Oryzias latipes: one gene and its partner. The protein of the gene in region 1 purifies or fractionates together with the protein of each later gene. This does not show direct contact. Links are inferred from orthologs where the notes say so. Each region holds a gene or a part of one and is shown in the gene's direction. Other genes may lie near its edges.

Region 1 (3,651 bases):
TCACTGAGGGTGGTTGGATTTTTCTGAAAAATGTTTGCGATTCTTCAGGGCATGTTCGGAAACACTGCGGCTTCCCAGCCGGGGGGTTTGTTTGGCTTGACGCAGACCAGCACAGCCACAGGATTTGGTACGGGCACTGGATTGTTCGGACAACCCAGCTCAGGATTTGGAACTGCTGGAACGCAGGTAAGAACTAGATCCAAAATGTCTGTCAGAGTAAAGTAGGCTTCCTTATGAACTTCTGACAATAATTTCAGAATTCTGAAAGTAAAAAAAGTTAATTAGGGACCTGGAGGAAAACCCATCAGAACAAAAGCTCTCCATAAGGTTCTGGTTTCACAGGTGTGACTGTTCTCTTACAGCCAAGTTTGTTTGGCAACAAAGCCACTGGGTTTGGTGCCACCACCACCAGCGCCCCATCTTTTGGCACCACTACTGGAATGTTTGGGGCCAAACCTTTGACTCTGGGAACCGGAACCAACCCCACTAGTTTCGGTGAGTGTTTTCATGGACCTCCTGTTGTGTTCAGGGCCCGGCCTAAATGCTGTGTTTTTATTAGGGTGAACTCTGGGTCTTTCCATTCTGCTACGACTCAATATAATATTCCATCCTATACATTCTTTGAATTGTTTTTTGTAAAATTAGTTTTAATGCAACAAAATATTAAACTTTATTTTCGAACATTAAAAAGGAACTCTACTTTGATTTTTACTTTAAAAAAAGCTTTAAAATTGAATTTTAATTCATATATATGTATGTGTATGTGTATATGTATGTTACTCAGATTTGATGGATTGTTGCTGCAACCCCAAATTTTTTATTTATATAATATATATATATATATATATATATCATATATTTACATTTTTTTTACGAAAATTAATCATTTGACTTTTGTGTCTGTAGGTTTTGGAGCGTCCCCTGCAGGGGGGGGTCTGTTTGGCAACAAAGCAACCACTGGAGCCCTGGGGACTGGACTGGGAACCAGCTTTGGGACAGGTAACCATAGAAACAGAATCTTGGCCTTAAAAAGCTCAGTTTTGATTTTAATTTAAACTATTTATTATAGGCATAAAAATAATTTAATTCTGCAATAAAAAAGGGCAAAACAAAACACATCAATTCTATTTTTAGATATCAGGTTACACATTAATTATAATGTAAAGAAAATTTACAAAGATCTTATGAAATGGTACTATCTTCTTGACACTTTTACTCATAATCATAAATTGACGTTTTTACAGTTATGCATATTTAATAGATTCATTAAATATTATGATTCCAGAATCATAATGACCATCACAAGTGCCTCAAAGGGCAAAACAGTGACTGAGGCAGAGTCGCTTGTTAAAGTTTGACAGGTGACTCCGCCTCAGCCACAATCACCTGTTTTTAAATACTTCACCATTACCTGATGACGACTCTAATGAAGGCGGAAGAGCTTCCGCCGAAACATGTCAGGCATGTGAAACACAACCGTGTCTGATACAAAGTAACTTAAGAAATCATGTAATGCATACAGACACTATTTTTTTTTAATCTTTGCATTATTACAATTTTTTAGTGTTCGAATAAAAAAAGCACAGCTATAGAAAAATTGGCATCCAGCAAACAGGAAGTGTTTGCCAACAGAAAAAGGTATTAGTATATGACCTTTGATTTTCAAAATAAAAGTTTCCATTGGAACATTTCTCTGATGGCTCTGCTTCTCTGGGACATTAGTTTTTTTATGTATTTTTTTTAAATCATCCTCAGATTTAATAGATTATCTTTATATGTCAAAGGTTCTGGTGGGTTTTAGAATCTTACACCTTCTTGCTGCACTTTTGTGTTTCTCACAGTGGGAGCAGGAACCAGTCTATTTGGAAACACCCAAAACAAACTGGGCACCTCGCTGGGAACAATGGGAGCCTTCGGAACAACGGGTTTCAACACCGGGACGAGCTCGCTGGGCTTCGGACCGCAGCAGCAGCCTGTCGGTAAGACGATGCCCTGATTAATGAACGCAAATGCCTGTTCAGACGCTACAGTCCCTGTCTGACCTATCTGCACAGCGCTTACCGATCCAAACGCCAACGCCGCTCAGCAGGCCATGCTCCAGCAGCAGCTGAACATCCTGGCATACTCGCCGTACGGAGACTCGCCATTGTTCAGGAACCCGCTGTCGGACCCCAAGAAAAAGGAGGAGGTACACAAAGGCTCGACACTTTGACCAAAAAGTGTAAACTTTACAGTTTCAGATCACATCTGCTTTATTTCTGACAGCGTCTGAAACCCACAAATCCCACGGCTCAGAAAGCTCTGACCACGCCCACTCACTACAAGCTGACCCCCAGACCCGCCACCAGAGTTCGACCCAAAGCGCTCACATCTGCTGGAGCTTCAAAGTCGCAGCTGTTCGACGGTCTGGATGACGACGAGCCTTCACTCACCAACGGAGCCTTTGTTCCCAGGTACTGTTTCCACGGTAACACCGTATGAGCTGCCGTGGTCCTTGCCGCCATCAGAGAAATGATGATGTCAATCAATCTAACACTGTCCAGTAGGGCATGAAAAAAAAACCTTTCTGCCCCTGAGCAAAAGGAATTCGAGGGTCTGGAAATAATTCCCATTCCGAGAGAAGCCTTGGGAATGGAAAGTACTTACATTTCTGACTCAACTTATGCACATGTAAACGTTCCAATAGTTAAAAAAAAAAACTGTACATAAACCAAATTAAAGCCCCACTAGCTGCATTGTTTTAAAAAATGCTAGTACTTTGAATAAAGAACAGGTTTGTAGTTTGGGTTCATTTGTTTTTAGATTTGTAACATGTCAGAGCACGGAAAGGTTTAATGGACTGGCAGTAGTTTATTATTAGAATTGGTTTCACATGCTCTGATCTTCTGCTCAACAACAGGGTCTAGTTGTTGTTTAGAGGGTCTTAAAGTATAGAATTGCATTTAAACATTGAACTTTACACCAATGCTGCCATGTTTGCATTTGATAGTACAAGAAGTGAAAGGATGACACAATAACAGAAGCCTTTTTATTTCACGCAAATCTGCAGGAGGAGGGTCTTATTTGACATGAAGTGTATTTTATTTAAAAAAGGAACTTTAATGTGCTGCAAGTTAAATGTTATATATAGAAAATCTAACGCTGTTCTTATTCACCTATTGTAAAGATTTAGAACCTGCATTCTATAAATGAGTGGCTTAATGGCCAAACAAGTGAAGAGTAGTTTTCTAAATGGGGAAGAGATTTTGTGGCTCTTGTAGGGTTATGTTCTGTGAAAACTGGACCAAATGGATCTTTTTCTGCGAAGGGTGGCGGATCCGCCAGTAAGGCCCCCAAATGGAGAAAGCCCCCCCCCCCTCTCTCTCTTTGTCCGCACCCCCACAAGTTTCTCGTCAACTATCAGAATAGTAAGGAAAGCTTGGCTTTGTCTGTGAACTGAGAAGAAACAGAAACTTTTAAATCCCTCCAAAAGTCAACTAAAGAAACTTGAATGCTCTCCTGCTCTCTCATTGGTCCTTCTGGAAAGAACTGGATGTTCATCAGATCTTGCATTTTGCTGCATCGACTTTTGATGATACTGCATATGGTGAAGCTGGCATAAAACTGGCTCTAAATTGTCTCTATGTGTGAGTGTGTGTGATTTGTGGCTGG
Region 2 (4,006 bases), on another chromosome or scaffold:
TTTTCAGAACCTGAAGGAAGACAAAAACATGGAGGACTTTCAAAAATACTTTAAAGTATCCTTTAAAATTCCAACCATAAGCTAGAATACACACACATAGAGAGAGGGGGAGTAAATTACAACTATATTTAAAGCATCTAAAATTCATTTTACCAAAATCCAGAAACTGCTTCATGGATAAAGGCGAAGGAGAAAACTTTGAGTAATAGTCAATGTCCTTCCCGACCGCCACGCTCTTCCTCAGGAACCTTAAAAGCCTCATGTTGCTCTCCGGCCTCGACTTGATCAGATTTCAAACACACACGACACGTCCGAATTCTTATGGCGCACGCGGCCACAACAATAAATATGTGACGCTTGTTGACACACTAGCTTGTTGGCTAAACTCAGCAGTTCGCCCGCACGTTTGCGATTATCGACCGTGTTTCCACTTGGACTGAATTCCTGCTGCAGGCATGGTCACAGACGGACTAAAGCATCATCCCTCACTTCGGACGTCCTCTGTAAAATTCAGTCAAAAGTCAACACGGCAAACGCACCCACTCCGCAGCTGAGCTAGCAAGTTCAAAGAGTTGATTCGACGCCGAGAGAACAACGCAACTATTTTGCAGTAGTCTTTATAAAATAAAGATGACAACTTTTATGCAATTTAAATAGATTATTCTTCTGCTTTTATTTTATGGTGGTTGGAATACAACTTTTGGGATGTTCGCCACCTACAAATTGATCACTTTTGGTTCCTAACCCGCATATCAGATGGGTTAGATTAGACCGCTAAAAACACCACTAATGTAGAAAGTAATACATATTTGCGTGACAAATAAAATATATGTTGTTTTACTTTAAAGCGTTTAACAACAAAACGAATTTATATAATTTTAATTATTTAGCAAAATGCAAGAGGAATTATTAACATGTAGTTCATATCTACGACACTAAAAAGTGCGTTCTGTGCATCTCTTGTCCTCTATTAACTCTTTGACTGGTTGAAATGCCGTCGCTCTGATCCCCAGTGCTTGTCTGTAAGGTTAAAAAATAAAAACCAATCAAATGTCAGCATTTTTCATTTCGGCACAGTAATTTGGTGTTAAGGATGTCAATCTAAACTAGAGGGTGGGGCTTTTTCTCTGACAGACAGAATTGAGGGCAAAATTGCATGTTGAAAGTGGCGTCACTTCCTTTAGCTACAACAGAAAGTATGCTCAAAGAAACGTTTGGTCAGTTACCCACGTTTTTTTTAAAGATGCTTCGCTAGTATTATTATATTTACCGGCACAGTGAAAGAATTAGTTATTAGACTATGATTTAAAATATCCGTGGCTAACGTAAGAAGTCCTCTCATTAGACGGTTTTTCTTCGGTGAAGCTAGTTGAACCGGCAGCTCGTGCTAGCGACCCGCCAAAAACTGTGGTGAAAGATACCATTTTGTTCGTAAGCTGTAAAGTCATTTTGTTTTTATCAGAGGAAGAACATGAGTGGCGGATTCAACTTCGGGCAACCTTCGGGTTTTGCCTTCGGAGCGCAGAAGACCACAGCGGCCGCTCCGGCCCCGGGCTTCAGTTTAACGAACTCCACGGCTGCGGCTTCGGGAACGGGCTTCTCTTTTGGCACTCCGACTCAGAGTCAGACCAACGCCAACCCGACCGGTGGCTTCAGTTTTGGCGCACCGGCTAAGAACTCTTCCGCCGGCGGCACCGGCTTCTCCTTTGGCACACCCAACGCCGCCGCCGCCACCGGCACGTTCGGCCTGGCCACGACTACCCAAACCACCGCCGCCACTGGGTTGACCTTAGGCTCCTCGGCCGCTCCAGCTGCGGGGTCCGGCTTCACCCTGGGCGGGATGTTGTCTTCGCAGACGAACAGCGCCGCTCCAGCGGGAGGGGGCTTCAACTTTGGGGCTACCTCCCAGGCCCCACCCGCAGCGACAGTTGCACCTACAACAACCACCGCATCAGGTGGCATGGCTTTCGGAGGGTTCAGCTTCGGAGCGCCGAAAGTCCAGGTGACCTCAGCTGCAAGCACAACCATCGCAGCGGGGGGAGGAGGCTTCAGCTTCGGGACCCCTGCCCCCTCCACCCTCACCCAGCCAGCCCCAGCAGCTGCAGCTCCAGCAGCTCCAACCCAGGGTGGAGGGTTTAACTTCGGAATTAAACCCTCATCAACACCAGCTCCTCCCGCATCCACCCAGTCAGCCCCCACCCAGTCAGCCCCCACCCTAGGCCTGTCTCTGTTTGCGTCACCTATCATCACAACCTCTGCAGCAGCGCCAACTTCAGGTTTTACTTTGGGTGCAGCTCCAGCGTTGTCAACCAGCATGGCAGCATCCACAGCTGCAGGTACAGCTCCATCCTTCATGCTCAAGCCTCTGGGGTCCGTTGCCAGCACAGCAGCAAACACCGGCTCCACCACCACCACAACAACTGCAGCTGTCACAGCTAATGCCACCGCAGGCTTCACGCTGGGATTCAAACCTCCGACCATCTCAAGCTCCACAACAGCCTCCACAGCAACAGCCGTTACAACCACCACCACGGCCCCTCCGGTGATGACCTACGCCCAGCTGGAGGGTCTCATAAACAAGTGGAGTCTTGAACTTCAGGACCAAGAGAGGCATTTCTTACAGCAGGCAACTCAGGTCAACGCTTGGGACAGAATGCTGGTGGAGAACGGGGAAAAGATCACGTCTCTGCATAAGGAGATGGAGAAGGTGAAGCTGGACCAGAGAAGGCTCAACCAGGAGCTCGATTTCATTCTGTCCCAGCAGAAGGAGCTGGAGGACTTGCTTTGCCCTCTGGAAGAGACTGTGAAGGAGCAGAGCGGAACCATCTACATGCAGAACGCAGACGAGGAACGCGAAAGAACATACAAGCTCGCTGAGAACGTGGACGCCCAGCTGAAGAGGATGTCACAGGACCTGAAGGAGATCATTGAGCACCTGAACACATCCAGCGGGCCGGCAGACACCAGTGATCCAGTAAGATCTGAGCCTTTTTTTTTTAAATCATATTTCTCATAAAATCAAGTCTTCTGCTGTTTTAATCGCCTTCCTTTCTTTTTGAATCCTTTAGCTTCAGCAGATTTGCAAGATCCTGAATGCTCACATGGATTCGCTGCAGTGGATCGACCAGAACTCTGTCCTGCTGCACAGAAGAGTGGAGGAAGTGTCCAAACAGTGCGACACCCAGCGCAAAGAGCAGGAGAAGACCTTTCGTCTAACCTTTGACTGATTTGTTTTTTGGCTCAGTGCTTATTTTTCCCATTTTGCTTTGGATTTTCTCCTTTATTATACTTCTATTGTGTGTTGCAAAACTATTTTAAATGCAATCATCTTTATAATTGTATCTACCTGAATAGAATGATTAAAAACAAATTTTGAACTTTTTTGTGTTTTCACATCCTAATTTTACCTGTTTTTTATCTATATTTAGGATTGAAAAACATCTAATGACAAGATTTGTTTCTTGTTCTAAGACTGATGTTACCCCTTGTGCTATCTTAGATGACCCCACCCTTACATTGACGTGTTCTCCCTACCATGACAAAGGTGGAAAGATTTCATGTAATCCATGGACACCAGTGAAGATCACAAATCATTGAAGAAAAAAGGTTCAGCGCACTGTCTAGTGGGTCTAGATGACCCCACTCCCAATGTTAAAGTGCCTAGGATAGCACAAGGGTTAATACTTGCAAGGTGGATTTTCAATTAGGATGTTTTTGCTATGACACTCGTTTGAAGGGGAATTGACTTCAGCATTTGTTTGAGTTTTGTCAAAACAATGTTTTAAACTTAATTTACGGAGAAGCTGAAGATGTTTTTTTTTTTATATAGAAAAGGAAGATTCATTAGAAATAATTCTTTAAATTGTTTTATATATGACAAAAAGAAGCAGTTACACCCATAAAAACAGTCTTTTTAGCACATTCCCTTTGGATTGAATAAAAATAAAAACAATCCGATTCAGTGATGATCTAAAGTACAGTGGATGCTACCTGAACATCACAGCAG

The links. The genes of interacting proteins can lie anywhere in the genome.
Region 2: the proteins of nup98 (region 1) and nup62 purify together in Homo sapiens (affinity purification with western blotting; 3 studies listed by BioGRID and IntAct, with this or other methods). This does not show direct contact. The link is inferred for Oryzias latipes from reciprocal best matches to the Homo sapiens genes NUP98 and NUP62.

The regions. Positions count from the first base shown.
Region 1 is NC_019872.2:23,879,080-23,882,730, reverse strand, and holds part of nup98 (nuclear pore complex protein Nup98-Nup96), read left to right. Parts: intron 1-48; coding exon 49-186; intron 187-362; coding exon 363-495; intron 496-906; coding exon 907-999; intron 1,000-1,841; coding exon 1,842-1,979; intron 1,980-2,054; coding exon 2,055-2,188; intron 2,189-2,265; coding exon 2,266-2,453; intron 2,454-3,651. UniProt on the Homo sapiens protein: Plays a role in the nuclear pore complex (NPC) assembly and/or maintenance. NUP98 and NUP96 are involved in the bidirectional transport across the NPC. May anchor NUP153 and TPR to the NPC.
Region 2 is NC_019879.2:22,073,731-22,077,736, reverse strand, and holds nup62 (nuclear pore glycoprotein p62), read left to right. Parts: upstream 1-1,155; 5' UTR 1,156-1,471; coding exon 1,472-2,974; intron 2,975-3,068; coding exon 3,069-3,227; 3' UTR 3,228-3,381; downstream 3,382-4,006. Other genes in the region: pdk1 (pyruvate dehydrogenase (acetyl-transferring) kinase isozyme 1, mitochondrial), read right to left, coding at 1-10, 154-262. UniProt on the Homo sapiens protein: Essential component of the nuclear pore complex. The N-terminal is probably involved in nucleocytoplasmic transport.